Linked DNA regions of Oreochromis niloticus. Each later gene encodes a partner of the first gene's protein in a complex. Links are inferred from orthologs where the notes say so. Each region holds a gene or a part of one and is shown in the gene's direction. Other genes may lie near its edges.

What was found.
Region 2: ik (region 1) and sf3b3 share a complex: the UniProt entries of both Homo sapiens proteins name them as parts of the spliceosome B complex. The link is inferred for Oreochromis niloticus from reciprocal best matches to the Homo sapiens genes IK and SF3B3.
Region 3: ik (region 1) and zmat2 share a complex: the UniProt entries of both Homo sapiens proteins name them as parts of the spliceosome B complex. The link is inferred for Oreochromis niloticus from reciprocal best matches to the Homo sapiens genes IK and ZMAT2.
Region 4: ik (region 1) and mfap1 share a complex: the UniProt entries of both Homo sapiens proteins name them as parts of the spliceosome B complex. The link is inferred for Oreochromis niloticus from reciprocal best matches to the Homo sapiens genes IK and MFAP1.

What each region holds. Positions count from the first base shown.
Region 1 is NC_031975.2:33,418,492-33,426,177, reverse strand, and holds the start of ik (protein Red), read left to right. Parts: upstream 1-4,673; 5' UTR 4,674-4,874; coding exon 4,875-4,884; intron 4,885-5,393; coding exon 5,394-5,460; intron 5,461-5,572; coding exon 5,573-5,665; intron 5,666-5,740; coding exon 5,741-5,800; intron 5,801-6,149; coding exon 6,150-6,317; exon of another isoform or gene 6,318-6,402; intron 6,403-6,471; coding exon 6,472-6,586; intron 6,587-6,646; exon of another isoform or gene 6,647-6,679; intron 6,680-6,699; coding exon 6,700-6,770; intron 6,771-7,000; coding exon 7,001-7,047; intron 7,048-7,295; coding exon 7,296-7,459; intron 7,460-7,592; coding exon 7,593-7,686. Other genes in the region: ndufa2 (NADH dehydrogenase [ubiquinone] 1 alpha subcomplex subunit 2), read left to right, coding at 1,749-1,852, 2,901-3,007, 3,094-3,185. UniProt on the Homo sapiens protein: Involved in pre-mRNA splicing as a component of the spliceosome. Auxiliary spliceosomal protein that regulates selection of alternative splice sites in a small set of target pre-mRNA species. Required for normal mitotic cell cycle progression.
Region 2 is NC_031972.2:7,733,420-7,740,487, forward strand, and holds the start of sf3b3 (splicing factor 3B subunit 3), read left to right. Parts: upstream 1-4,053; 5' UTR 4,054-4,211; intron 4,212-4,759; 5' UTR 4,760-4,817; coding exon 4,818-4,887; intron 4,888-5,241; coding exon 5,242-5,397; intron 5,398-5,692; coding exon 5,693-5,863; intron 5,864-7,048; coding exon 7,049-7,068. UniProt on the Homo sapiens protein: Component of the 17S U2 SnRNP complex of the spliceosome, a large ribonucleoprotein complex that removes introns from transcribed pre-mRNAs.
Region 3 is NC_031975.2:32,927,399-32,934,883, forward strand, and holds zmat2 (zinc finger matrin-type protein 2), read left to right. Parts: upstream 1-4,463; 5' UTR 4,464-4,556; coding exon 4,557-4,574; intron 4,575-5,563; coding exon 5,564-5,663; intron 5,664-5,776; coding exon 5,777-5,900; intron 5,901-6,271; coding exon 6,272-6,345; intron 6,346-6,507; coding exon 6,508-6,653; intron 6,654-6,733; coding exon 6,734-6,877; 3' UTR 6,878-7,344; downstream 7,345-7,485. UniProt on the Homo sapiens protein: Involved in pre-mRNA splicing as a component of the spliceosome.
Region 4 is NC_031965.2:1,538,436-1,545,586, reverse strand, and holds the start of mfap1 (microfibrillar-associated protein 1), read left to right. Parts: upstream 1-4,129; 5' UTR 4,130-4,268; coding exon 4,269-4,350; intron 4,351-5,633; coding exon 5,634-5,850; intron 5,851-5,943; coding exon 5,944-6,082; intron 6,083-6,168; coding exon 6,169-6,356; intron 6,357-6,840; coding exon 6,841-7,110; intron 7,111-7,151. Other genes in the region: vps33b (vacuolar protein sorting-associated protein 33B), read right to left, coding at 768-863; hddc3 (guanosine-3',5'-bis(diphosphate) 3'-pyrophosphohydrolase MESH1), read left to right, coding at 1,376-1,487, 2,665-2,720, 2,808-3,048, 3,227-3,357. UniProt on the Homo sapiens protein: Involved in pre-mRNA splicing as a component of the spliceosome.

The sequences.
Region 1 (7,686 bases):
AGAGCACGAACTCAGAAGGTTCAACGTTCCAGCGGTGAGCTGCTCTGTGCCACTGCCTTAAATAGCAGCTGGGGAAATCAGCCAGATCAACAGCAGGTGGAGACAATCACACAGGTGCGTGGGCCAAGAGCGAGAGCCCGTAACGAGCTCCACCCAGGCAGAGAGGAGGAGGAGAGACAAAGAAAACAAAAAAGAACAACAACAACAAAACCTGTAGCCAGCGTGAGCCAACCAGAGAGACACGGGGACCGTGACATAAGACCTCCACCAGAGCATCCCCAACCACAGACAGGAACTCCACCCTGTCCTGATCCGACCCTCCGTCAGACACAGTCATCTCAGTGTGGAGGAGCAGACTCTCCTCTTCATCTCTGGGAGATGGCTGATGTCACTGCTGACATCACTGCTGATATCACTTGTAGTGTTGCCAGCTTTTTACGTACCCAGTAATAGATACTGTGGTGTGCCAGAAGCACAGCCGGCTGGGTGAAGTGTAAATATGCACTGTATGTTCATATTCTTATAAAACACAGTGAACTGTCGACCACTGGTCATTATCTACTATATTTTCAGACTCTCTCCAGACCACAGCCGGAGTTTCACACTGACTCACAAAACAAGTCTGAGTGTTTTCAAAAATGGAGTTCAAGTTATTTTTACTTCGTTTGGCGTTAACACACTCCACAGGTCATGAACAAGATTTCTGTAATTTTCACTGTTAGTGGGCTACAGTGTTCTAGCTTAGATGTTCTAGCAGACATCTAAATGCTGTAATTTGATTCTTTTACTAAACCGTGTAACTTGGATGGATGTGATGCTGCCGTGACCACAGTGCACACATGTGATGTTGCTCACAGTGGTCCGAGCTCAGGGAGTGTGTGTGTTTGTTCAGACACATGAAACATTAGAGGGAACACTGCTCACCGCCTGTCTGATTCCTGCTGATCCTATCATCACAGTTTCCCCTGCTCCTCTGATATTAACATGAAGACGTGACTAACTGATCTCTTTGTAACTGATAACTGATTGATGATCAGAGTCCATCACAGGGGGTCTGGGAAACGCTGGAGCCACTGGTCTTACTGGAAATCACTGACACTGCCTGTGAGAGTTTCCCTGTGAGGGGAGCTGGAAGCGCCCCCTGCAGGTCAGAGCAACATCACACACCTGCTGACTGATGTGTGGATGTCAGTCATCAGTCTTTATTCTGCAGTAAAACAACAGCTCAGGTTCATTTAAAGTAAAATATATCTGTGCTTAAAGGTATTTTTCACCATTATGGATCATTAAAATAGTAAAATCTTGTGAAACATAATTGAGTTATTTGACATATGATTTGAGATACTTTGTGAATTTATTTAAAAGCTAACTGTTTTTTAATAAATATAGAATGGCCAGAGAAACCACTCAAAATAGTGTCTCCCTGTCAGGATAAACTCGGGTCGATCATTGTGCCTGTCAGCATAAACTCAGGTAAATGGCCTGTATTTGTACAGCGCTTTACTAGTCCCGCAAAGCGCGACACACACACACACACACACACACACACACACACACACACACACACACACACACAGCCTTCCGATTACAAGGCAAACTCCCAACTCTTGAGCCACGATCGCCCCAGGCACTATGCCACGATCGTCGAACATTGTGCCTGTCAGGATAAACTCAGGGTTGAATGTTGCTCCTGTCAGGATAAACTCGGGGCACTAGTGACACTCCTCCGTCCTTGACAGGAAGCTAAGATGGCGGCCGCCGTGGTGAGGAGTCTGGGCTCCACTTTGGGTAAAAACCTCCGGGAGATCCGCCTGCACCTCTGCCAGACCTCCGCGGCCAGTAAAGGGGCCAGGTGAGCTCAGAGCCGGCCTGCTGAGGCGAGAAGAGCCGGTGATGGTTTGACAGAGCGGTCATTAGCGAAGGACAGCTAACAGCTAGCGGCTAACAGCGCCGCGGACTCGGGTTTACAGTGAGAGGTTTGCAGGTTTGACCCCTGTGAATGCTGTCAGGATAAATCTGTCTGATCACGTGAAGACTCATAAAGAGAGATGATAACAGCAGCTGCAGCTCATTAAACAACAAAGTTGCCAAAGGAAACACACAGAGGCAGAGGTTTGACTCACATCTGGACAGAAGCTCTGGCTCCTGCAGATGTTCGGCTGTGAGTCTTATGTAGTTCATCATGTTCCAGATGTTTGTTCATGGTGGAGACCTCTGAGTCTGCGCAGTGACACACACACCTGAGCCGGCCACTCAGGCTCCATGATCACAGTATGACTCATGGCTGTGACCTGTGTGAACCCACAGGATCACAGACAGATGAAGGTGAAGGAGATTTCATCGTCATCATCATCATCACACTGTGATTAGCTGAGGAGAGAGAGCTGACCTGCAGCAGGAGTCAGGTTATGGAGGAGACAAGGAGCTGGAGGTCAGATTAAGGAGCTCCTTCATTTCCTCGCTGCCCATTAGCAGGGACTGACCCTTCAAAATAAGAGCATGCAGACTGTTGGTAATCTGGTCATGTGAGGGAAACACTGACACGTGACAGAGTATTGATTTATGGATCAATCCATTCATTAGTAACAGAATAATGATGAGCAGATGAATAAACAGTGGCCATGTTTTATTTTTCATTTTGTTGTAGTTCACCTGCAGGTTCAGGGTCCCTCTGACTGAACGTCCTACAGAGGACACCGTCTGATGAGCGGACACCTCGGCGTACGTGTGATTAGTGTCATCTATGCTGGGACATTTATGTTGGTCACTGTTTATGTCTCTGTGACAGCATCACTTCCTGTGGGATTAATAAACAGTTGTTCAGGTGAAACTCAGACAGGTGATGCTCCTGCTGTGAGGTCACAGGTCAGCTGACCTTCCCCCTTCCCCCTGTGTTTCAGAGACTTCGTGGAGCAGAGCTATGTGACCCTGAAGAGGTCCAACCCGGAATTCCCCATCCTGATCCGGGAGTGTTCTGGAGTCCAGGCCCAGCTCTGGGCCCGATACGGTGAGCCCCCCTCACGCTCGGCATCATGGGAGACTCAGATGTGTCACCTGTGTATTGACCTATTATTGATCCCTATCTCTGTTCAGATTTCGGGAAAGAGACGAGTGTCTCCGTGGAGAACATGTCAGCTGATCAGGTGGCCAAAGCTCTGCAGACTCTGGCTCAATCCAAGCCCTGACCCCCGTCTGAGCCCGCAGTGGTTCAGTCCATCCACTCACCTGTTTTTGTTTCTGTAAATGTGCTGATGTGAATAAAGTGAACATGTGAACGTCCCTGTTTACCGTGAGGTCACTGGGTCCATCAGCAGAGTTTCTGTGGGTTTACTGGGAGTTTATTGACGCATCCAAAGTTTTTCCTGAGTTAAAGTCACATTACTTTGTTTATGTTGAAATTAGAAATAAGAAGTTCCTGGGAGCATGTAACTGGATTTCAGATATTTATACTCCGAGTGTATAAATGTACAGGAAATTAACTGGTATTTTAGGAGAATCAAGTGGTTTAACTGGTTTTAAGGTGTCTTAATGGGAACACACTCAGTTTCATTGTAGGTTTATTGGGATTTATGGGGTTTGTTTGGGTCTGACTGGTTTAAATGGTTCAGGCTCAGTGAAACAGAAACACTTTGCTGGTTTTCTGGAGTTTGTTGAAGGAGCTCTGAGTGAAGCTGTGTGAGTCCTGAAGGTGGCGCAGCAGCGAGCACCAGCTGGTCCTGGAGAACCTTCAGCTGTGGCTCTGCTGACCTGCGGGGGGCGCTGTGAGCCAGAGAAACAACACGTGACCGGGCAGGAGAGCTGCGGGTGTTTCAGTGTGTGAGGAACAAAGTTGAGCTGTGAATAAAACCCTCAGTGACGCAGAACAAACGTTTCATCAAATCAAAGAACTCTTCATTTAAACTACATGAAAATGACCTTTAAACACAGACACTGTAGTCGGCCTCTATTTTATAATAACTTTATTATTATTTTATTTTCACCTCATTTTAACCGGATTTATACAGTTTTGGGCTATGTCCACACGTACACGGGTATTTTTGAAAACGGAGATTTTCCGTTTTCGTTTTAAAAAATAATCCCGTCCACACGTAAAGGCAGAAATGAAGGAAAACGCTGCTACGAACATGCCAAAGCAGCAGGTGGCGATATATTCCTAACCGTGTAGAAATGTTGGCCAATCAGAAGTCTAGAAGCCTCGGCGGGAAATAGTAAACAAAGCTGGGGCATAGAAGCAGAACCGAGTCGTATGTGTGGAGGGACAGTAACTGTGCATGTATATGTAAGCATTTAGACACTGCAGAGAGGACAATTAACAGTAACAGTATTGTAGAAATTCATTTCACCGAAACAACAACGTGGCGCACAGTGTGACGTCAAAAAAGGCGCACACCTTTGACGCTGCGTTTTCTCCGTTTTTCTCGTCCACACGTAAATGCAAAAACGGAGTTTTAGAAAATATCCACCCTGGCCGGAGTTTTTAGAAATCTCCGTTTTCAGTGACCGAAAACGGCGTTTACGTGTGGACGAAAGGTGCAAACGCATAGAAAAATCTGCGTTTTCAAAAATACCCGGGTACGTGTGGACATAGCCTTGTTGTTTTTGTTTAAAAAATCTTGCGGTGTTTATTGACACTGCTGTCTGTCCCGCGGTGTCTCCTCTCCTCCTGCAGGAGGCGCTGTGTCTGTTATCTATCAAAACGGAAGTGACATCACAGCACCGTAGCTCTCCTCACAGCTAACTCGGAGCTTGGTTGGAGCAAAGAGACCCGCAGCAGCTCAGAGAAATCCGAACACCGAGCCTCAGTTTGTCCCTGTGACCGGATCAGACCGGACCGGGCCGGATTCAGACCGCAGGAGAAGCAGCTGCCCGCAGAGATGCCTGAAAGTAAGCGTTAGCTCCGCATGTTAGCATGCTAACAGTCATTGTACGGGCTGTTAGCCGTTAGCTATTTGTTTACTTAAAAACAGCAGCAATAAAAACAGGAATTATTCAATACATGATTGAAATAAACACGGCTTTGGGAGAATGAGGACTGTGCTGGACTGAACAGTTAGACAGAAAAAGCCTCTCACAGCAGCTGTTAGCCTAGCTTCTCCTCTCACTGCGCCACACCAGACTCCGTTCACACTTTTGCCGCTTTAAAACTTCCTTGCTCCGCGGCAGAAACGCAAAGCTGTTGAGAGGTTGTTAATAAAACTGTAGCACAGTGAAGGAGTCCCTGTACACATCGGCCAAGCCGGTTTATCTCGAAATCAAAGAGTTTCCATGAAATCTGCAGTTTTTTGAGTGTAAAACAGGGAACATATAAAGAGCAGAGCAGCTCCCAGCTGTGTCCTTTTAAATGACGCGCACCTGCTGGGCTGGCTGTGCTCTAACATCTGTCTGTCTTTCAGCTGAGACTTACTCCAACCCTCTGGCTCCTGAGGGCCATGATGTGGACGACCACCGAGCTGCAGCTCAGTGAGTCTCACACACACACACACACACACTCTGATACACACTCCTCACTGCTGCTACTGTGTTACTGTGTATGTCTTTATTTTAATGTGTGTGTGTGTCCGTCTGTCCTCAGGTCCAAACTGACCAACGATGACTTCAGGAAGCTGCTGATGACGCCGCGGGCGACGCCCTCCTCGGCCCCGCCCTCCAAGTCCAGACATCATGAGTGAGTGATGTCACAGAGCAGCAGACAGTTGTTTACTCCTAGCACAGCTGACACAAATGTGTTTTTATTTCCCAGAATGCCGAGGGACTACAATGAGGATGAGGACCCCGCAGCGAGGAGGAGAAAGAAGAAGAGGTGGGTGCTGATTGGATGTTTGTCACATCAGAAAACTGCCGGTCAAAGGTCACCTGGCCTCCACAGAGCTGATAGCTCGCTGAGTGAAAGATGGCAGCTGGGATGCATGACGGGATTGTGGAAACACGGGAATATTCTGGAAGGAAGGGAATGAATTTTCACGACATTTAAAGAGTTTTTTATTATTAATAATGAAAATCCTGGACAGAAGTTTTCACCTGTGATGTGCACGAGAGCGTTAAATATGTCGACACATACAGCAGTCCACAGCACTCAGGGCCACAGACGGCACCGCTTTGACCCTCAAATGCACGTTATTGATTATTGATCAGCTGTGGTTTGGTTGCAGTTACTATGCGAAGCTGCGTCAGCAGGAGATGGAGCGTGAGCGCGAGCTCGCCGAGAAGTACCGAGACCGAGCGAGAGAGCGGCGAGATGGTGTCAACAAGGACTATGAGGAGACCGAGCTCATCAGCACTACGGCAAACTACCGAGCTGTCGGACCGACCGCCGAGGCGTGAGTACCACCCATCGATGACCCCAACATGGCCGCGGTGAGAGGAGCGGGTCGTTATCATTTTAACTAAACTCTGATCATTCACCTGTGTGTGTGTGTGTCTGTCTCTCTCTCTGTGTGTGTGTGTGTGTGTGTGTGTGTGTGCACGTGTCAGCGATAAGTCGGCAGCAGAGAAGCGCCGTCAGCTGATCCAGGAGTCCAAGTTCTTGGGAGGTGACATGGAGCACACTCACTTGGTGAAAGGTCTGGACTTCGCCCTGCTGCAGAAGGTCAGAGGTCACAGTCGTCAGGATAACCTGTGCGGGTGTGTTACCTGCTCAGCTGTTTACCTGTGTGTGTGTGTGTGTGTGTGTGTGTGTGTGTGTGTGTGTGTGTGTTACAGGTGAGAGCTGAGATCACCAGCAAGGAGAAAGAAGAAGAAGACATGATGGAGAAGGTCCAGAAAGAAGCCAAGTAAGGAACCACGGAGCAGAGCTGCAGCCCTGTGATCAGAACCTCACCTGTCTATGTGACCTTTGACCCCCTCATCTGTCTGTCTGTGTGACCTTTCACCCCTCATCTGTGTGACCTTTGACCCCCTAATCTATCTCTATATGACCTTTGACCTCTCATTGGTCCATCCCTGTGACCTTTGACCCCTCACCTGTCTCTGTGTGACCTTTGACCCCTCCCCTGTCTGTCAGGAAGGACGTGGAGCCCGAGGAGAAGATGGAGTTTAAGACTCGTCTGGGTGAGTCGTGTTTTCTGGAGGGAAAGTGTGGATGTGGGGGGAGGAGGAGGACGGGAGTTTGAGCCGAAGCTGAAACATTTGAGGGAACCGAGGAGTGAATGTTGTGAGTCTGGAATGTTCAGGAATAAAGGAGGATCGTCTCCGGATCAAACGGAATCTTTTTAGAACAACGTGAATATTTTGGTAGGAGAAATCATGTAAACGTGAATATTGAACCTGGCGTTCCCGGTGTCTCCGTGTTCGCTCAGGCAGGAACATCTACCGCGTGGTGTTCAGGTCCGGCGTGGCCGAGAGGAACGAGCTCTTCCTGCCCGGCAGGATGGCGTACGTGGTCGACCTGGACGACGAGTTCACCGACACCGACATCCCCACCACGCTGATCCGCAGCAAGGCGGACTGTCCCAGCATGGAGGTGAGGCCGAGGGCTCGCCGCGTCATCGCCACGCCAAAACATCTGAGTTCTCCAGCTGAATGATTTGAATACCACAGAGCCCCGAGATCGTTCCCTCACGTTCTCTCACGTTGCCCCATGTTCTGTCTCTCAGGCTCAGACCACCCTGACCACCAATGACATCGTGATCTCCAAGCTGACTCAGATCCTGTCCTACCTCAGGCAGGGAACCCGGCACAAGAAGATCA
Region 2 (7,068 bases), on another chromosome or scaffold:
TCAGGACAGGGTGTGAATAAAAGTTATGAGTTGTGTTGCTGCAGAGAAAGTTGTTCACTCTGGTGAGGTCTAATGTGTCTAATGGGAGGCTGAGCCTTCAGCTTTCCTGTCACTGTCCTGTGTAAACAGAAACGCTCTCGTCTTTTAACATTAAACTCATAACTTTCCTTTTTGATCAATCTTATAGCTACAGCTAGATCAGCTGACCCTGTCCCATCCTTTAGTTATGCTGTTATAGGCCACAACTGTATGGTTTAAAAATAAACACTCATAAAAAATCATTGTTTCATTGTCTGGTTTATTCTTTTTCCATTTATCGATTATCCAAGTCCTTTTTCCAATGTAATTTAGAGAAACAGAGAAACATATGTCAATACTAAGCTGTTAAGAGGCTACTTACAATAATCTGAAACCTGTATACAGGCTGTGATCAGCTGATCTGTTGCTATTGTTGACCTGAGGTTTACTGCTTTCTGTGGATTTACACAACTGAATCCAACAAGATGTACACAGATGTTTCACAGATGTTTCCATCCCATACACCAAGGCTATTCAACTAAAAAGGGACACCTGCATTCATTCCAGCCCACTTTAATCTGCGAGTGTAAGCAATATAAATGATACCATTGGACCTAAACTAATCAGTCTGTTTCTAAAATCTCAGAAGTAGACAGTGGAGATATTTGCTTACTCAAGTAAAGCACAGATACCTGAAAATTCTTCTTGAGTACAGTAACAAAGTATTTGTAATTTGTTACTTCCCAACCCATTGTCTCGAAAGTACCATTTAACAATATAAACCTCTAGGCTACACTCCCACACAACAACAAAAATCAGTATCCTAATGAGGTCACACGTGTAATGTTTATCTTTAGGTACACAAAGCAAGGGTGATCCCCAGCACAAAGACACTTTAAAGTGATTGGCACAGTGATTTTACTTCAGAAACATGAAGAGGTAGAAAGGAAGCAGCAGTTTTCCACTTTACTACTCTCTCTTGTCCTTTTGTGCAATAAAAAAAGTAATTTCAATATCCAGGCTGTATACTGCGCTACCATTTTCCTCCCCTGGTGCATGACCTGAAATCAGCTGGTTGTAGCTGAAATGCAAGTGGAACCGATAAGCAGGTGTCTTTATTAAATGTTTTTGTTACTACAAAGTCAAAATTTTATGATGGTTTCAGTATTTTAATCATTGCAAGCCCTGCATGTTTTCTGGAAGAAGAAATGACGATATCATTAATTAGATTATACGACATCCGAATCAGATTTTAGAGGAAGAGTTCACACCAAAACGAAATGTTTGCACTTTCCTATGTCCTATAATGTTATGGCTTCATTCTAAGACATCTGCTAAGGAAATGCCAGAAATGCCTGCCAATAAAACTGAAAAAAAAAGATTAAAATGTTAGTTTCTTCATGGCTCATAAAGCAGCAAAAATCAAAAAATTGAAAAACATCTGGAAAAACTGAGAAGCAATATCTATTTGCAGAAATGATAAACTGGTGACTTAACACTTAAGGGCTGGGGGTTGGGTGGGGTGCTCCATAACTGTTTTTGTCATGTAATTGGATTGCACTTTGTCAGGCCTCTACCCTAAGACCTGACCAACTTGGGTGTCCCACCTGAAGGCTAAGCTTCCGCTGATCTAGCTTTTAGGGTCACTGAGGCACGCAAACCCCCTGACCACGTTAAGGTGGTAATCTCTCAGGGGGAAAACAGAAAAACAAAACAACAAAAAATAAAATAAAATATTGCTAATCCGATTCTAACAACTCAAAACATGACATTTACCTTAACCGGATGGCCTATATAATAAATATATTCGAACCCAACAATAGTACGTCACACTACTGCCAATATCAACAAAACCAAAAAGGGTAAGCCAAGACATAAAAATAGACAATTCACAAAGTCTTGAAAAATAAAACTGAAAAATAGAAATAAAGAATAAAAATCCTCAATCCACTCTATAACAACAGTCTCCTGCTTCTCTTTCCAAAAATTCTTACAGATTCATCCATATCCAAGTTATATGTTATGGACTTCTCATGGGCCAAATTTCTCTTTCCTTTATGTAACAAAAGTAAATAAGCTTTACTAAAATCGCTGTAATTACATCAGTATATGAAACGAGGTAACTGTTGAGTGCAGAGTTGAAAGCTGGTCTGACAGACACAGGTGCGTCTGTGCAGCAGACTATGGAACGCCAGGACTGCCATAATGAATAATTAAATACACCATTAAATAATTAATTAAATGTGGCAATAATTAATTAAAATTGGAAATAATTAATTAAATAAATATTTACGACATATTTAATTAAATAATTATTGACACATTTAATTAATTATTTAAAGGTGTATTTAATTAATTCATTATGGCAGTCCTGGCGTTCCATAGCAGACAGGCTCACAGTGGGATTGAGAAATAAACACTTCTCTACCAGACTGAAACTGTGAGAAGAACAATGGCCTAGTCCCCCACTGACTGTACAAATATAAACTTATTTTTTAGTTGTTAATTATCGAGTTCTTGTGCATAAAAACATGTGGAAGTCTGTGAAAGTGCACCTTGTGTAGGAGTCGCAAGGAAAACCTGTACTAGAGAATGAGCTAAAGCAGCTCAACTTAGTTTCAGTATGGAAGCGCAGAGCTGCCACCCAGGCAAAAGAAAAATAGAAGTATATCACGTTATAACGTGAAAAGTTTATTGTTCTAACAAGATACTTTTCATGTTTGTACAATATACTTTTCACGTTTGAACAACATAATATCACGTTATTGCAATATATATAATTATCACGTTCGTACAATATAATATTTATATTGTACGAACGTGATAATTATATTGTACGAACGTGATAATTATATTGTACGAACGTGATAATTATATTGTACGAACGTGATAATTATATATATTGTAATAACGTGATATTATGTTGTTCAAACGTGAAAAGTATATTGTACAAACATGATAGTATATTGTACAAATATGAAAAGTATCTTGTTAGAACAATAAACTTTTCACGTTATAACGTGATACACTTCTATTTTTCTTTTGCCTGGGTGGCAGCTCTACGCTTCCGTAGTTTCAGTGTTTAAACTGTCATTTATATTTTTTCAAAGCAAAGCCCAATGCTGTCGCCACTGAGTGAGCATCAGCGCCCTCTGCAGTTTGTGTGTAGAAGTCAAAAAAGCTTACAGCACCTGGTATTCCCAGGCGGTCTCCCATCCAAGTACTGACCAGGCCCGACCCTGCTTAGCTTCCGAGATCAGACGAGATCGGGCGTGTTCAGGGTGGTATGGCCGTAAGCGAGAGAAATAGCACATAAAAGGCCTTTTATAGGTGGCAAGTGTCACCCAGTTTAATATACATTATTGCGTTTTACAGCGAAAACATGCAAACCTTCGTTATTAACTGCAGCTTCAACATTGAGGTACAAAAATGCTTTTCCCGCAGTAACATCTCAATAATAACACTTGTTAGTTTATTACAGCACCGTGTTAAAGTGACAGAGAGCACACGGTGTGTTAGGACGATTTGTAACGTCAACTAATGCCTTCTTATGAAGGTACGTCTGTGTATATCAGTGATCATTATATAACTAACCTAACAAACTCCTTTTGCCTTGTTTGCTTTTCCCATTATCTCTGCCTACCTTGGTGCTGCTGGACCCCGCATTTCTCTGACGTCCCTCACATGGGCCACCCCATTTTAAAAATCTTGCAAAATTTTTCTTAACAGCTTTGTAATTAAGTTAAATGTAACTTAATATCAAGGATACAAACATCATTGTTTATTTTCTACTTTTTGCCTTTCTTTTCTGGTGTGCAACAAGCATACAGGTTATTTATTGTTTTTGACTAAATAGTAGAAGACGTAGAGTGCTATCATGATAAAGCGTGCAGAAGAAAGGGGCAATAAATGTAGTGGGAAACTATTTTACAGATATTGTTTTTCTTATGGCGCCCATTCGCGATAATTCCGTTAATCTTGAGGTCTTTGTCGTCATCTGCTGTGCACAATACAGTACTACAGTCTCGCATTTCCGTCAGGCACTGTGTGGGCCAGCTCTTGCGACGGCGTTTTGGCTGGCGAAGGACCCACCAACGGCGGTTCAGCGTCGGCTTCTCAGGGTTTCAAGGAAATAGTTTTCGTAAATGAAACTTTATCCATCTGAAATCAGAGTCATCTTACTAAGCACACCGGTAAATATTATATCTTGCAGATCTGCATCTTTTCCGCAATTAAACGGACGTTTAATGTGTGTGAAGTTTGCACTAGCTAAAGTAATATAGCAAGAAAAAAAAAGGGGGGGAAGCGTTAATCAGAAGTGGCGCTTTGTATGAATGGGCCATGTTCTCAGACTCTTGGATTGATGTAAACGATCTTTTTAAGTAGTTTAAATTCGTGTTAAAGGAATGCGTGACCCCTATTGCACGGTTTAAAAGCACAGAGGGTAGTACATAAATGTCCGGGGAACGTTAATTTTCTCACAGCTAATGTTGAGCTAACGTTAGCGGCGCCGTAGGTTTTGTGTCCAGCAAACACTACACCGCTCCACCAACTTTTCATAGCAATATTGTGATGAGTGCAGTCGCTATGTATTGCTCCACAGTCCACTACAGCTGACCTCAGTTTGAAGATCCCTCATTTGTCACCAGTGCGACCGCGTAGCTTATTGTGACTTTGTCCAGTGGTCTCAAACTTCTTGATTCCTTACTGTAAATACACTTTTGGTTTTCTTTGTTTACAGTTCTGAGCCGGGTTAAGCGCTCTTTCAGCTTCCTCTGAATAAGATTTGAGTGGAAGCCATGTTTCTCTACAACATCACCCTGCAGCGTGCCACTGGCATCACCCATGCCATCCATGGAAACTTCTCAGGTGAATTTACGCCAGATGTCACTGCTTTATGTCTGGTTAGGTCATGGTTAATTTATCAAAGCTTGGTAACCCTCCTTTATTGTCAAAGAAGCCTTTAACTGCAATCTCTATGAGAATTAGCAAGCACATTTAATTGTTTTATTTAAGTATCTTTTCTTGTGTTTGTATAGTCATTAGATTTTATCCTATCATGGTGTTTCACTCATTATGTTGATGGAGATAATGTAAAGCGTAGTTTTCTCATGGTTAAAAAATACATAAAAGACATGTCACATAATGCTTTTTTAAAAGCAGGATTTAGGGAAAACCAACAAAAATATCTACGTGATATGTCTGATTTGTCTGTTTTGGTAGGAACCAAGATGCAGGAGATTGTTGTTTCCAGAGGAAAGATCCTGGAATTATTACGACCAGATGCCAACACAGGAAAGGTGCACACTCTTCTCACAGTAGAAGTGTTTGGCATCATCAGATCCCTGATGGCCTTCAGACTCACTGGAGGAACCAAAGGTACAGAAATTACATCATATGCACTCACATGCATGTGTTTGTAACTCTAAACATGCATTGCACAGATTAAATGGCATGTATTAATAATTTTCTCTTAAGTGGTTTTTATTAAATTTTTTGTCTGACACTGATGTATTGTTCGTAGTTGCTTTCTTTTTTTATTCATTTACAATTAGGAGGGGAAGTTGGCCTCCATTGGCTTTCATTACCTAAGCTTTAATTACATGATAGTATCATAATTAATCTAATGTTGACATGCAGGTTTAGTTTCTAAGTGATATTTATGTATTTTTAGATTACATTGTTGTGGGGAGTGACAGTGGTCGTATCGTCATCCTGGAGTATCATCCATCAAAAAATATGTTTGAGAAGATCCACCAGGAAACATTTGGGAAGAGCGGTTGCCGGCGTATTGTTCCTGGACAGTTTCTTGCCGTTGACCCAAAAGGCAGAGCTGTAATGATAGGTGAGAATTTTATGAAGTATGCATGAAATCAGCATTTGACCAGTATGAGGAGTCCATCCTATCAGACAGAACACAGATGTTTGTGCTCTGTTTAGTTTTATTGTGCTATTTTCCTTCTCTCGTAAGATGAGCACCCTTTATTTGACAAAGATGAACAAGAGCTAACTTTATCATACACACTGCTAGGATTTTATGTGTAATCTACTGTGGTGTGTTTAGCGTTGGATGTAATCACCACGAAAAAGCCCATTCAGTGCCAGGAAAAACCCTTGCATTACAAACCAACACTGAAAACTATGTACTCCAAAAGAGTCCATCAGTTAAGACTGATGTGTTTTAAAGGTATTTATTATAATGTATGTTTTTTGTTTTTTTTAGGGTTATATAGTGTGCGTGAATCTGCAGCTTTGAAACTGCATGAAGCTCTTTGCAGCAAGACTTTATACAACCTGGCCTGTAGTGATTTTTAAATAACTTAATATATAAATATATAAATAACTTATTTAATTTATTTGTTGTTAAGTAGGCTGCGTTTAATTTGAATCCTTTGAGTCCTACTTGCATTTGAGCAAAGTGGGCCTGGATAGCTTTATAACATCTATGTTTCTAAGTAGGCCTAAACATACTAACAGATGCCTCTCTTTTTTTTCTCCCCCAATTCAAAATTGTTCCATTTGGTAATAAATTACTTTTATGATTTGACAAATGCAACAAAACATGACATTTTTAACGAAACTGCAAAGTTGATAGGTTTTATAATATGTTTTGTGGCTCCATACAGTTATTTATTTATTCATTTATTTATTTATTGGCAAAGACAAAGGTTGTCAGCCTATTAGATGATAATTTGGTTTATAGGCTGATGATTATTTTTCTTATATTTGGGCCTTGGTGTGTTAGTATAATGTCAATGGTGTAAATATTGCTATAATTGACTTAACCCCAAGAGCTTTACAGGTGCTTAATATAATAAACCAGCATCAAATGCTATAAATTTGGTAGTTCTACATCAGATAATTTTACCTTTGACAGAAGTGCTTTGTGGAACAATTACGATGTTAAATAATGTGTGCTGAATTATTGTTGTTTGAATCCTGAAGAAAATTTATATATACACATATAAATAGTTGTATTAAAACCAGTTAAATGAAGCACTTTAATGTGTTTTGTCATTTATCTGACTAGGAGCGATAGAGAAACAGAAG
Region 3 (7,485 bases), about 490 kb from region 1:
TTCCTGTCCACGCTGGGGCCTCATAGCCTCACCTCCTCTTCTCCTGCGGGGGGCGCTCTTTCTACCTCTGTTGAAAAACATGACACTACAGCAGCTGCCACACCAGTTGGTGGCGGTAATGCACCATTTTGCTCTTTGCCAATAAAATCTATAAAGAAGAAGAAGAAGAAGCACAAAGGTTGACCGACAACAGATTGATGAAACCCATCCAGCAATCACAGTGGAGAAGATGATTTTGTTCACTGCATATGTAATAAATTGTACAGACCAAGTTAAACACAAAATGGAAAAGATTAAAATAATTGTAAAAGGGGCTGAGAAATCTTTTGGTATAAAAGATATTTCCTGGGAGCAAGTTCATAAGAGACTGTGGGGAGACGAGAAGGCAGGAGGACCAGGGGAGAGGACAGTCTGATCGTTATACAGTGGAACGCTAGAAGTTTAATAAGAAATGGACAAGAATTTAAGGGATTTATTAAGAATCTTAGAAAGAAACTGCATATTATCTGTGTTCAGGAAACTTGGCTCAGACCAAATTTGGATTTTGTTATTAAAGGGTATGAGAGTATTCGGAGGGATAGAAGGGAGGGCAGAGGGGGAGGGTGTGTTATATTTATCAAACAGGGAGTTCAGTATAGAGTGTTGGGAGAAGGGACACAGCTGGAGTATATTGTAGTTGAAACTTGGACAAAAAATGGAAGCATAAGCGTAGTAAACTTTTATAACCCATGTAAAAGACTGTCACTGGAAGTAATGGAAGAACTTGGGGGGCACTTAGGGGGGAAAGTAATTTGGTGTGGAGATTTCAATGCTCATAGCTCATTATGGGGAGATTACAATGACCAAAATGGAGCAGTGATTGAAGAATTAATGGAAGTTAAAAACTTGGTGTGCCTAAATGATGGAAGCAGTACAAGGGTCAACAGTAGGGACAGAATCATCAATTGATCTCACATTAGTGTCAGATTCTTTGGCGGGTGATAGGTTTGTAGCGTAAACCTATTCGCTGGAACGTTCAGGACAATTTGCTACACAGCAAGAACAAGACACAAGTAGGCAACGTTCGTTGTGTTACTCATGCATGAGGGAGGCCTGCCTGGAGCCAAGTGTCGTTCCACCTACTTGACCTCCATCAGACTCTCAGCCAGGTTCCCCATAGCACTTCTTTTATTGTGGTTACTTGAATATGCATAGGGTCATTAACATATAACGGCTTACATGGGTATACATGTGAACAAGGAATACCCTGCCTGTGGTTTTGTAAGTGTGTGTGTGTGTGTGTGTGTGTGTAAACTGCTGACCAAAAGGGTCATAAAGCAGGAACAACATCCTAGGTCATAAAGAGGGTAACCTCCCCACACCCAATCTATGGTTCACCCTAGATAACACAGTGAAGCCATACAAAGGGCAGGAAGTTTTACCACATCAAAAGAAGCAGATCTTCCAGATAGGATGTATCTGCAATAAAACACTATAGCCCCTCACCCAGAACCTCGAGAATCTGGGGAGGGGAGAACAAAAGAATTCCTTTCAACACACAGTTAAAGTACAAATGGTAAGAATAAAAATGACAAACATTTAACAATTCACTCTAACAGCGGGTGTTTGTTCATGGCGAGTAGTTAAAGAGACAATGGTGGGGACCATTATCCGGTACAGACTGAGATAGCAATGACTGTGGAGAGGTGTGATACAGGAGGTGTGCACAAATGGTGTTTTGGATCTGCAGACTGGGAGACGTTTGAATGAGTTAGTGATCTGGAGATGCAGCAAATTGATATGAATGTTAGTGTTGATGATCTAAATTCACCTGTGTGTGGTGCAATTCTGGTAGCAGCAAACCAGACTATAAAGCTGAAAAGAGGCAGAAACAGGACGATTGTAACCTGGTGGACAAAGGAATGTGATGAAGCAATTAGGTGCAGGAATAAAGCTTTTAGGGTGTTAAAAAGGAATCAGAATTATCAGTATTTTGTTGAATATAAAAAATCACAAACTATTGTGAGAAGAACCATTAAAACTGCAAAGAGGGACAGTTGGAGGAGCTTTTGTAGTTCTGTGGGGAGAGAGACAAACATTGGTAAGGTGTGGTCAATGATCAGAAGGATGAATGGCATTACAAGGAAATGTGGGTATCCAGTATTAAGTGAAGGGGAAGTCACAGCGGTGAAAGAAGAAGAAAAGGCAGATATGATGGCAAGAACCTTTGTTAAAATCCATAGCTCAAGTAATATTAGTGAAGAAGGTCAAAGGGGAAGAGGAATTACAGTAGCAGCAAACAGGGAGATACTGCAGCAAGTTGATGACACAAATGTTTCATTGAATATGCTGTTTACAAAGACAGAATTGAACCGGGCACTTAGGAAATTTAACCTTTCAGCACCTGGAAAGGATCAGATTTGTTACACGATGATAAGTCACTTGAGAGACTCGGCTAAAGAAGTTTTACTAGACTGTATAATAGAGTTTGGGAGGGAGGGAAGTTGCCACAAAGCTGGAAGGAGGCAGTGAGAATACCGATACGAAACCAGGAAACTACAGACCAACAGCTTTAACATCCAACGTCTGTAAAATAATGGAGAGAATGAGAAATGAAAGATTAGTGTTTTATGTAGAAAAGAAGGGATATCTGGCTCAGTATCAGAGTGGTTTTAGAAGAGGGAGGGGTGCAATGGATCCAGCTTTATGTTTAGAACATGAGATAAGGAAGGCACAAGTGAACAAGGAGAGTGTGCTGGCGGTCTTTTTGATATAAAGCGTATGATATGATGTGGAGGGAAGGTCTATTAATAAAAATGAGGGAAATGGGTATAAATGGTCGAATGTTCAGATGGATTAAGGATCTTTTGGAAGGACGCCAAATAGTAGTAAGTATTGGGAGGAGTTATTCGGAGAGTTTGCCAATAGAAAATGGAACGCCACAAGGAAGCATAGTTAGCCCGTTATTGTTTTCATTGCTGATAAATGTCAGGGTCAGATTATATGGACAAGCATTAGAAAGGGTAAAACAATTTAAATATTTGGGGTTGTGGTTTGATGAAAGGATGACATGGACTATACATATTCTGAAAATAATAGATAAATGCAAGAAAGTGTTGAATGTAATGAGGTGCCTAGTGGGAACTGATTGGGGGGCTGATAGGAAATCTTTAAAAGCTATTTAAACTGGGTTGATTAGGTCAGTACTGGATTATGGGTGTGTAGTATTTAATTCTGCTGCCAGAACAAGTCTTCGTAAGTTAGATAGTGTCCAATATCAAGTGTTAAGACTTTGCTCAGGTGCATTCAAAACAACATCTGCAGCAGCACTACAGGTAGAAATGGGGGAAATGCCGTTACAAATATGAAGAGAGCAACTGACATTGAATTACTGGGCAAGTTTACAAGGACATGGTCACGATCATCCGACAAAATCTGTTTTCCAACCATGCTGGGAAAAAGAGAAGTGAATTGAAGAGCTTTGGGTGGACAGTGGGACAGAAAGCAGCTGAACTTAATCTGGACAAGATCAACATAAGTCAAACAGCACCGTTGCCTACAATACCACCATGGATACCACCATGGATGCTCCCTGATGCAATAGTAGATTTCACAGTGTTAAACAAAAAGAACAAGGAGAGGGGTTTTATTTTAAATTCACATACAGCACAGGAATATATTAATCACAGATGCATCAAAGAATACAGCCAACCAAAGCAGGATAGCATTTATAGTTCCTGAGTTTGGTATCAAGGTGGGGAAAAGGATCAGTGGCGATTTATCAGTGTACACAGGTGAAATGGTTTCAGTATTGTTAGCTGTCCAGTGGATTGAAGAAATGAAACCACTAAGATCTGTGATATGTTCAGACTCGAGCTCATCACTGGCCAGTCTGCAAGACAGCCACTCAGACTGCAGACCTGACAATCTGATAGAGATCCAGCAAACATTGTTCAGACTTGTTATGATGGGGCTTGTGGTCACATTCTTATGGGTACCAGTGCATCATGGAGTTAAAGGAAATGAAACGGCAGATAGGACAGCAAAAGTTGCAACAAGAAGAGCGATGGTAGATATGGTTAATAGTGTGAGTAGGACGGAGTTCAAGAGTAGAATACGATACAAAATGAAGGAAAGGTGGCAAAAGCAATGGGAAGAGAGGAAAGGGCGATGGTTTTACAAAATCCAAAGGAAAGTGGAGGAAATGAGAAGTACAGGACGAAACAGGAGAGAGGAGACGATTATATCTCGACTGAGATTCGGACACACTGGTTTAAATAGCACATTGTTTTTAATAGGTAAACACTGTACAGGGGAGTGTGACTGCAGTAGGGCACAGGAAACAATAGAACATGTTTTGTTGCATTGTCAGAAGTATGATATTGAAAGGAGACAACTGATCAAAAAGCTGGACGATATGAAAGTGAAGTTGGACTTGATTGATTTATTTCGCATGAGCTGGTGGAGTTGGTGGCGGTAATGCATCATTTTGCTGTTTGCCAACCGCCAAAAAACCCTATACAGAAGAGGAAGAAGAAGACGAAGCTGCCGTCATTTCCGGTCACAAAGTAAACAAGATGGCGTCAGGCAGCGGGGTGAGTTTCTGAGCGTTTCTTGTTTAGAGTAAAAACATGAAAGCTCGGCGGTGTGAGCAGGGCGTGTTTCACTCTCGGGGTGTGTGGTAGTCGGGGTTGTTACCGGGTCCGGTTCAGGCCGGTTCTCCGTCTTTAGACAGCTGTTTGCAGCGCGCTTAGCTAGCAGAAGCTAGCATGCTAACCGTGACCATGTTCAGCGTTTCCGGTTTCATTTCAGACGTTTTCTAAACCTTATTCCAGTGTTCGTTAACCCGCTCTGTGCTGCCGGGCACTTCGTGTTTGTTTTTGTCCCTCCCGCAGCTCTGAAACAGATCAGCTGATCAGTGTTAGCCTGTTAGCACAAGCAGTATAGCTTCCCCGTCATCGGCCTGTCAAAATAAAAGCTTCACCTCAAAACAAGGAACTCAGCTCAGGCTTGAATTAAAATGTTTTTATTTCAGATATAAAGACCTGCTGCTTTTCTGACTTTAAGATGATCTGTATTTTAGTGATAAGCCACATGTTTGATTTGTAGAGAGAGGAGGCAGCAGGTGGAGGTGAAAGTTACACGTCTTTATTTTCAGAATCGCGTTTATTGGCCATGTATATGAGCAAACACATACAAGGAACTTGGCTCCGGTAGATGGTGACTCTCAAGCACAGCAATGTAAATCACAACAATATGTAAACGACCCAGTACACAGACACACACACACATCTCTGTATATACAGACATACACGTACACATGCACACATACATACACAAAGGTGTATAAACCAACTGTAAATAACCAATCTAAATCTTATATACATAAAATACACGATTAGCAGTTAAAAATAAAAGCTGAAGCTCAGACAGTGTTTTAACCTTTGAATGGGGAATAATCAATAATCCCAATATTGATTTCATGTCACTGAATCAATGTTTCTGTGGATTGTGATTTCCACTTTGTGGTCAGCTCTACAGGAAGTGCGCGCGGTAACGGCGGCGTCTCTCTTTTCTCTTCCAGTCGAGTAAAAACGACTTCCGACGGAAATGGGACAAAGACGAGTACGAGAACCTCGCCCAGAAACGTCTGGCGGAGGAGAGGGAGCGCGAGCGGCGAGATGGTAAGAACATCAGCCGCTTTGATTGTTCCGAGTTGAACATACTGTGCCTGCTCAGAGGGAGGAGCTTAGGCTTTTAATTTCTGTATTAACCTGTCACATGTTGGCACCTTCAGGGAAAACGGCGCCGCCGGTCAAGCGGGACCTCCTGCGTCACCGGGACTACAAGGTGGACCTGGAGTCCAAGCTGGGGAAGACCATCGTCATCACCAAGACCACGCCGCAGGCCGAGATGGGCGGGTAAGACCAGATTCACACGCCATCTTCAAGTTGTCACGCAGACTGAAACCAAAACAAAAGCTGAACGAAAGCAACCGCTGACATGTGACGTCACAAGTCAGCTGCAGCTGCTTTGCAGGTGAAAATATGGCGTGATGAAGGCTGAAGGTTCGAGCAGGCAGCTGTTTGTGACTCGCTGACAAGTGGAGGTCAGTGTCAGGACAAGCTCCGCCCACACCGTCAGCTGAAATCAGTTTAGCTCTGTTCTGTCAAACAAACGTGTCTGATGATCTCGCTCAAAGTTTGGGCTGCGCAGCTGCTGCCGCCATCCTCGTTATACAGGTGGTGCAAGGACATACGGGTGACCTTTTTTTCTTCTTCTGGTGTTTCAGGTATTACTGTAACGTGTGCGACTGTGTGGTCAAAGACTCCATCAACTTCCTGGATCACATCAACGGCAAAAAACGTGAGTTCACAGCTGAAAACGCCAAAATAATCTGATCAGAGAGGAGGCTTTTATTTTGAAAATCATGTCAGATTTCAGTCAGTGTTGCTGCAACTTCCTCCAACTCTGAAAGTCGAGTGTGTGTGTGTGTGTGTGTGTGTGTGTGTGTGTGTGTGAGAGCAGATCAGAGGAACCTGGGCATGTCGATGCGGGTGGAGCGCTCGTCTCTGGATCAGGTGAAGAAAAGATTCGAGGTGAACAAGAAGAAGTTGGAGGAGAAGCAGAAGGAGTACGACTTCGAGGAGCGCATGAAGGAGCTGCGGGAGGAGGTGAGGAGGAGTTTTATGGATCTCGTGAGGTTTTCGGGACAAGCGTGTTCCTCACAGGTGTCTCTGCTGCGTCTTTTTAGGAGGAGAAGGCGAAGGCGTACAAGAAGGAGAAGCAGAAGGAGCGGAAACGACGGGCGGAGGAGGACGTGGACTTCGAGGAGGACGACGAGATGGCGGCAGTGATGGGCTTCTCCGGCTTCGGCTCGTCCAAGAAGAGCCACTGAAGCTCCGCCTCTCTGAGGCAGGAAGCAGCTTTCTGCCCCGCCCTCTCTACATCAGGCGGAAGTTCGGACTTAGGCGGAGCTCATCTTGGACTCTTATTTTGTTATTCACAGCCAGACTCTTATTTTGTTAGTTCATCTAGATGTAATCAGCTGCTTCCTGTTGCTCACAGGATGCTGATTAAGTGTTTGTTAAATCCTGCAGGCAGTAAACGCAACAGGTCAGAGGTCAGACAGGAAGTAGCTGTCAGGAGTGAGAAGGCATTCAAGGCTGCACAGAAAAAATCTGAAATTTTAAATTTTGATTTCCCGGGTTTGTGTTTGAGCTTCTTCACATAAAGTTTTGATTCAAACACACAAAACATAAAACTTTATTTAAAGCACAGCTCAGACAGTTTGATCCCCGTCTGTATCAGCCCCTAGGCATGCTGGGAAATTCAGATTGTAATAAACAGTTGTTTTTTTTTAAATTTCTGATTGTTGCTTGTGTCAGTGAACGCACCACAGAACCCAGGCTGTTTGTTCCAGACATCAGAGTGACGCTTGCCTTTATTTCAGATGTGACACTCATTCAAGATCAGAGGTCACCTGAAGCTGGTCATCAGTTTACT
Region 4 (7,151 bases), on another chromosome or scaffold:
CAATCTGCTCTTCACAACACAAAAAGCATCCCTTGTTTTGTTGTAGTTCCTGTTTTTTGTCTTCACCGAGTCTGAAGTACATCACAAACTAATGCGTGCATGGCTTAGTCTGCACACAGTTTCTACACTTTCTCCACTGATTCTGACAATGTTCATTTTTGCCTAATTAAATAAAATTAAACTGTAAAACTGACTCCTATGGCAAAAGTAAACTGTAGTTTGGTGGGGACAATTTTCATGTGAAGACAGTATAGTTCAGCATATAGGAGTAATATTTCTCAACATAAAATCTCAAGCAAATGGCTGCAATCTTTGGCTTTCCAGCAGCACTGCATTAGAAATAGACATGATTCTGCAGCAGAAATCACTCCATGAGCTGGTGGGCACTTTTAAAAGCCACTGCCAGACAAACGGTTTATTGTTATCTCCATAAACACAAGTTATAATTCTATAAAACAAACAAGAAATACAGTAGACTTCATTAAAAGCACAGAAGGCCAAAGGAGTCTCTATTTTCTGACATCACTGAGGTCCTTCAACATCCACCGGACGCTGCTCAGGATGTTTGATGAGTCTGTGGTGGCCAGTGAGGTCCTCTGTGCTCTGAGCGATACCAACAGACGTGTTGCTCGTGAATGGGTGTGCAGTCAAATGATAAAGTATAATAATAAAAAACAAAAAAGAAGAACAGTGCCATATGCATGCTATACATGCCAGTCATATTACTGATGAGCATGTCTTCAGCAGAAGCTGTGACTTGCTCCTACCTGTTCCAGCAGGTAGATGAGCTGATCTCTGGCCAGCCTCTTGAGGATGGAGAAGTCGGGGAGCTCCGGGGAGTCTCTCCTGGCACTGTGAGCCATGCTGGACACACGACGGAGGCCGGACAACACTCAGTCATCCACGGCTGGCATAAACAAAGAAAATAAATAAATAACTCATATACAAATATAATGTTTAATAATGGAGATACAAAAACCAGCAGAAACATATAGAACAGTCAGAGATCTGTGCTGTGATTATCCTCCCTGCTGGCTTAGCTTCAAAGCTAAAATCACATTCATCACATAAATGAAGATATAAAGTATCGAATACGCTGACACTAGTGTGTAAAAATTTCCCCCAAAAATATAAAATTAATGCCAGAAATTTGACCGTTTATGTCTTTTGAAACATAACACTTTATCTTATATCTTATGTTAGCAGCTACCTGCTTCCGTAGCTAAATAACTGGAATGATCCCACGACCAGTTGTTTCCCCCCGGATCATAATACGAACGGACCGCCACAGTTTTGCTCGAAAGACGTTGAAAATTAATTCACCTAACAACGCGGTTTTTCTGTTACTGACCTGACAGGACGTGATTTTTACACCATGAACTCAGATGCAGCTTTATTGTTAGAAACTGTCCAATTTGCCGCAGAGAAACACCGCAACCAGAAACGTAAAGATCCAGAGGAAACGCCGTATATAAATCACCCCATAGGTAGGTGTGTTTTTACGGTAGTATGATGCATTCACGGCCTGTACGTAAACCCGTGAAGTCTCTCACTCTTATCTTTAAAAGAAAAAGAAAAAAAAGTTTCTGATGTTTAACTGATACGATACCGGAAGCCGTGGAAGGAGGGAGTAGCCGAAAGGAGCGGTACGATCAGAACTAACCAGTAAAGTTATCAGGGTTTACTCGCATACTGCAGCTATATCACTAATATTTAGTGTTTACCATTTTATGGCAACAAATAGTTTTGCAGAAACTATATTTCAATTAACACGAGTGCCTTTATTTTGATTCTGGTGATAATAGCCTGCCGTGTAATAGCGATACGTTATTTTTCGGCTGTGTGCTCGGCACACAGTGTATAGTCTCACGTTGGAGGTGGAGGACGATTGATCCGGTTTTTTGTTCAGGCGTACAAAACTAATGGCTTTTTGTGTGCAGGGGATTTAGCGGCATCTAGTGGTGAGGCTGCAGATTGCAACGAACCTAATATCTCCCCCACTACCCACTGCTCCGTTTTTCTTTGCTGAGCTAATGATAGCACTTGGCAGTGCTTTTCCTGTCAGGGCTCCAGACCACTAGAGCTGTGGGGGACTTAAAGGGACAAGCTTTGAAAGGATAAAGAAATGCACCAAAAATAATACTGAAAAACATGAATTATTTTCCCTCTCATCTAATTTTCCATGTATCTATTCTTATTATATTGTCTTTGTTTGTTTTTTTAACCCTCTCCCCCCCCAAATTTGTATTTTTACATTTCGTTAGACATTCTGCTTTATTATGCAAAAGAGGAGCTAGTGATTGTTTCAAAATATCTTTTGAGACTACAGTTCAGTGGATTCGTTTATTTTGGTGTTAGGCAGGAGTGCCATAGATGGGCAGCCAGTGATTAAGCTCCCTCCTTGTTGTCCCTGTGTGTAAAGGAAGTTTCTGGTGGTTCGTCCACTTCTTCTGTGTGAGTTTTATTTTCCTACTTACAGATGAGAGCTATGAGCTATGTTGTGTAGAAACTTAAAGTTCTGAAGGAGCTCTTCAGAGAGGAAATGTCTGATTATAAATGAGTTTTCTTGTTCTATAAGTGACTTCTCTTAGCAGCCTGGAAACAGTGAAGCTTCTTGTTTACTGTCCTCTCTGCTACTCACAACTTTCTGTGTGTGCTTTTAAGGAGTGGCGAGAATCCTCAGCCACGAAGGGGGCGTCACAGACATCGAGGTTTTGCAGGTGAGTTATCAGTTGTTAACTGTTAGTCACAGTCACGTGCACGCATTCTCACATCAGTAATCCCATGTGCTTCCTCCCGCTCTGCAGGCCGCCCTGCTTCATGATACAGTAGAAGACACCGACACCACCCCCGCAGAGCTGGAAGCTAAATTTGGGGTAACCGTGGCTCGCATTGTTCAGGAGGTGACGGATGACAAGAGCCTGCCCAAGCAGGAGAGGAAGCGTCTACAGGTGGAACACGCACCTCACTGCAGCCAACAGGCCAAGCTGGTTAAACTGGCTGATAAACTGTACAACCTGAGGGATCTGAACCGCTGCACTCCTGTTGGTCAGTACTTCTCTGGACACAGTGCTGTTTGCTACAAAATGGAATGCTGTGTAAAAAAATAAATAAAAATACAAAATGAAGAGGATGAAATGCTTTGGAACACTTTATTTATTTGGCAGAAGTGCAAAAGACAACATATCAAATGTTGTTCAGTTATGTTTCTGAATGTGTTTGGCAGGTTGGACAGCTGAGCGGGTGCAGGAGTATTTCCTGTGGGCCTCTGAGGTGGTGAAAGGCCTGAAAGGAACCAATTCAGCTCTGGAGAAGAAGCTGGAGGAACTCTTTAAAGAGAGAGGAGTCCAGCTCTGACAGCAGGGCCACAACACAGTGGAGAAATGCAAATAAAATGCTTTTTAGTTTGTAAATATTCAAAATAAATCAAATTGAATTTACATTACAGTGTCTAATTTTCTGTGCATGGTTTTGCAGGAAAGTTGAATGTCTGATGTTGTGGTGTTTAGTAGTTAAAAAGTAAAAGATGTTACTCCTCATTTGGCAATTGTAGCTTGTGCACTGTGATGGTCCGTTTAAAAATAAGCCTATTTAGATATAACACACATTTGCAGGACTGCATTACACAAAGCAAACAATTTGGCACACTATCACTATACATTTTATGCTCAGTAATTTTCTTTAAAAGAAAATAAATAAGCTAATATAAAACAACAAGGAGATGTAGTTCATTTGAGTATTTTCTCTTGAATCGACCTGATATCTCTATTTCATTAATAGTTTTAGTAACTCCTTTACATGTTACATGTCCACATTTAAAACATATCGGATTATTAGAAATTATTCTACTTTTTAACCAAGAAAACAATAAATAATTGAATTTATTCGTACAAAAAGAATGAATGTTTAGCTCAGCAGCCTGCAGATGGCGCTGTTACACTAAAACGTTTCAGAATATTAACATTCACTTTCACCCTTCCCTGTTTTAGAAAGTTAACTTCATCATTTTTTCGCAAACTTGTTTCCCGTGTAAACCAAATGCCTCACTTCTGGGGATACTAAATGACATTATCTTCTGTATTAAAGTGAAATGAACACAGTCATCGCTCACCGGCGGAAGAACTGTCGGAGCAAATTCACTTCCTGTCCGTTCGCCGATTGTGTCAAACTTCCGTTTGAGTTGAGCGACGACGAGGAATTCGTTTTGTCAAAGTGAAATACTCCTTTTTTTAATCTTTGTACGGTTGCATATCGTGGACCGGGCAGTCATGTCTAGTCGCGAAGCCCTAAACATGAAGCTTCCACCGATCCAGTCCACGGCCGGAGCCGTGCCGGTCCGGAATGAGAAAGGTGAGCTTGTGCGGTTAGTAAGCAGGGTCCTAGCTGCGTGCTAAGCTAGTTAGCTGGAATAGCAAAGCTGGTAGTAAATTTATGTACGAAGATATATGCTGGAAAAAATGGACTGTACTTTTTTTTAAACTTAATTTAATAACATTAGTGTAACAATTTAACAATTGAGGGAAAGTGTTAACAAAATTATCTTCGTCTACATAGTTGTAGTTGGATAACGGGTCTCAATAAACCTGATGGGATCCTGCACTACCTGCGGCCTTCGAGTGGAGTTGCATTAAAACAGAGCCACGTTTTTATTGTGGGGTGCTTCAGTGGGAGGTTTGCACGATTTACACATCAGATAAACTTTCAGTCCACTCTGTGTTAAACGAGCTCCTGCGTCTTTAAGCCAAAGGTTTTCATTGGCTGGCCTTCCTAAACAGAAGGTTTTTAGAGCAGGTGACATGACCCAGTTGGGGATATTCCCTCTGTGTGACATAATACAGAGTCAAGAGTAGAAAAAAACTGTCCGCATCAGCGTGTTGCGAGCGGCCTGAAGTCAGTGAGGACGTATATACACAGACATCAGCACTGTCAGGCATTGCAGTTACCTAAAGACCAGTGACCCCATAATCGGAATCTTTATTAATCCCTAAGGAAGTTATGTGGGTTACAGTTGCTCCAAGACAGTAACAGCAACAGACTAAACTAATTAAGTAACACAATATGTTGCAGAGTTTACAAATGTAAGAAATAGCACTAATATATACATGTAAATACACTCAGTTTGATGTCACGTGTGTTTAAGAAAAGTTGGATTTAATTCTTACTTAAAAAAGAAAAAAATGTTCTAAATTAAAATTTTGCTTCATGTCAGTGGACTCGTTGATTGATAAAAGTATTTTTTAAAGGTTTTTATTAGATTTGCTATATACAAAGAAATTGGATATTAGAAGTAAATTAAATAATAACTGAAAGACAAACTGTGTGTAATCATTCATTTGGGGTTACCAGTATTGTATAATATTAAATAAATTCATGTTTAGGTACTTTTAAGATGATTTTTTATGATTTGCATGTCCTGTGAGAAAGGCATGAGTTTTCTGGTGATCAGTTTGTCATGTAATGATTTAGTTACCAGTAATAAATGATGACATTTATTACTTGGTCTTAACTAAAGATTAAAATGAGAAACTTCAAAGTTGGTATTATTTGTGGTTCTGCTGAGCTGGTATTCCTAATCGGAGAACTTTACGTAGGTTCAAGTGTGATTAAGAGGATTGTGTCTCTCCATGTGCCAGGTGAGCTCTCCATGGAGAAGGTGAAGGTGAAAAGGTACGTGTCGGGTAAACGCCCTGACTACGCGCCGATGGAGTCGTCTGATGAAGAAGAAGAAGACTTCCAGTTTGTGAAGAAGGGAAAAGAAATGGAGACAGAGGTGGAGCTGGAGGAGGAGGATGTCTCTGATCCACGTCTCAGGCGTTTGCTAAACCGTGTCTCTGAGGACGTGGAAGAGAGGTGGCGCCCAGCGTTTACGATCTGATTCAAGTTCACCAAAACGATCATGTTGGAAAGCTGACGTGAACATGGTTTGTGCCTGTTTGTCCTCAGGCTTGCAAGACACAGACAGATAGCAGAGCCTGAAGTTGTGGCTGAGAGCAGTGAAGACTCTGATGAAGGCACGTGGCACCCACAGCGAGAGGAGAGCAGTGAAGATGAAGAGGAGGAGGAAGAAGAAGTGGATGATGAGGTGCCTTAATGCTTACATTTGTCAAAAGTTTTTTTTTCTTCACTTATTTGTAGTGAGACATGTTTTTTTCTTCTTGACACTTACAGGAAATCGAGAGGAGGCGAGCAATGATGCGTCAGCGAGCCTTGGAAAGAAAGAATGAAGAGATGGAGGTCATGGAGGTGGAGGAAGAGGGGAAATCAGGAGACGAGTCGGAGTCAGAGTCTGAATACGAGGAATACACCGACAGCGAGGACGAAGCAGAGCCGCGGCTCAAACCTGTCTTCATCCGCAAGTACGAGATGAAAGTTTGTAGAACAACGTAAATCCAAAGACCATATTTATCAGTCGCAGACGGTCAGTTTTCTGTGCAGAACGTTGACAGATCAAGACACACAGGAAGTGTCTGCTTGCATTTCTGAAGGAACAAAAATTAGCAACATGGAGAAAACATATTCTGAGTGATGAGTGAATGATGAGTCTTTTATCAAGTGTGCTTTGTCTCATTTATCCAGAACACTCATGTCATTTGGAAACATACAGGACAGTCTGGAGCTGTTCACACTCAAAAATGTGTTTGGAAACAGCTCGAGTAGAGCTGAACATTTCTGTCAAAGTAACTCCTGAACACTTTATTCCTGTTAAAGCCGCCCCTCGTGCAGCTCTGCGGTGAAGAAAGCAGCTGCGCTTCGTGTTTTAGATGGAAGCAGATCACAACGACACCGGCCTGAATACCAGGCCCTTAACATTAATGAGCACATGAACTGTTTTCTCCACAGAAAAGAGAGAGTCACAGTGGCAGAGCGTGAAGCAGAGGAGCAGAGACAGAGAGAGTTGGAGGCCGAAGCGAAGCGGCAGGCGGAGGAGCGACGGCGCTATACCCTCAAGATCGTGGAGGAAGAGGCCAAGAAGGAGTTTGAGGAGAACCGGCGCACGCTGGCTGCTCTGGACGCTCTGGACACCGATGGAGAGAACGAGGAGGAGGAATACGAAGCCTGGAAGGTCAGAGAGCTGAAGCGCATCAAGAGGGACAGAGAGGCACGAGAAGCGTGAGTAAACACCAGTTTGAGTGACTGAAAATGAATTTGTG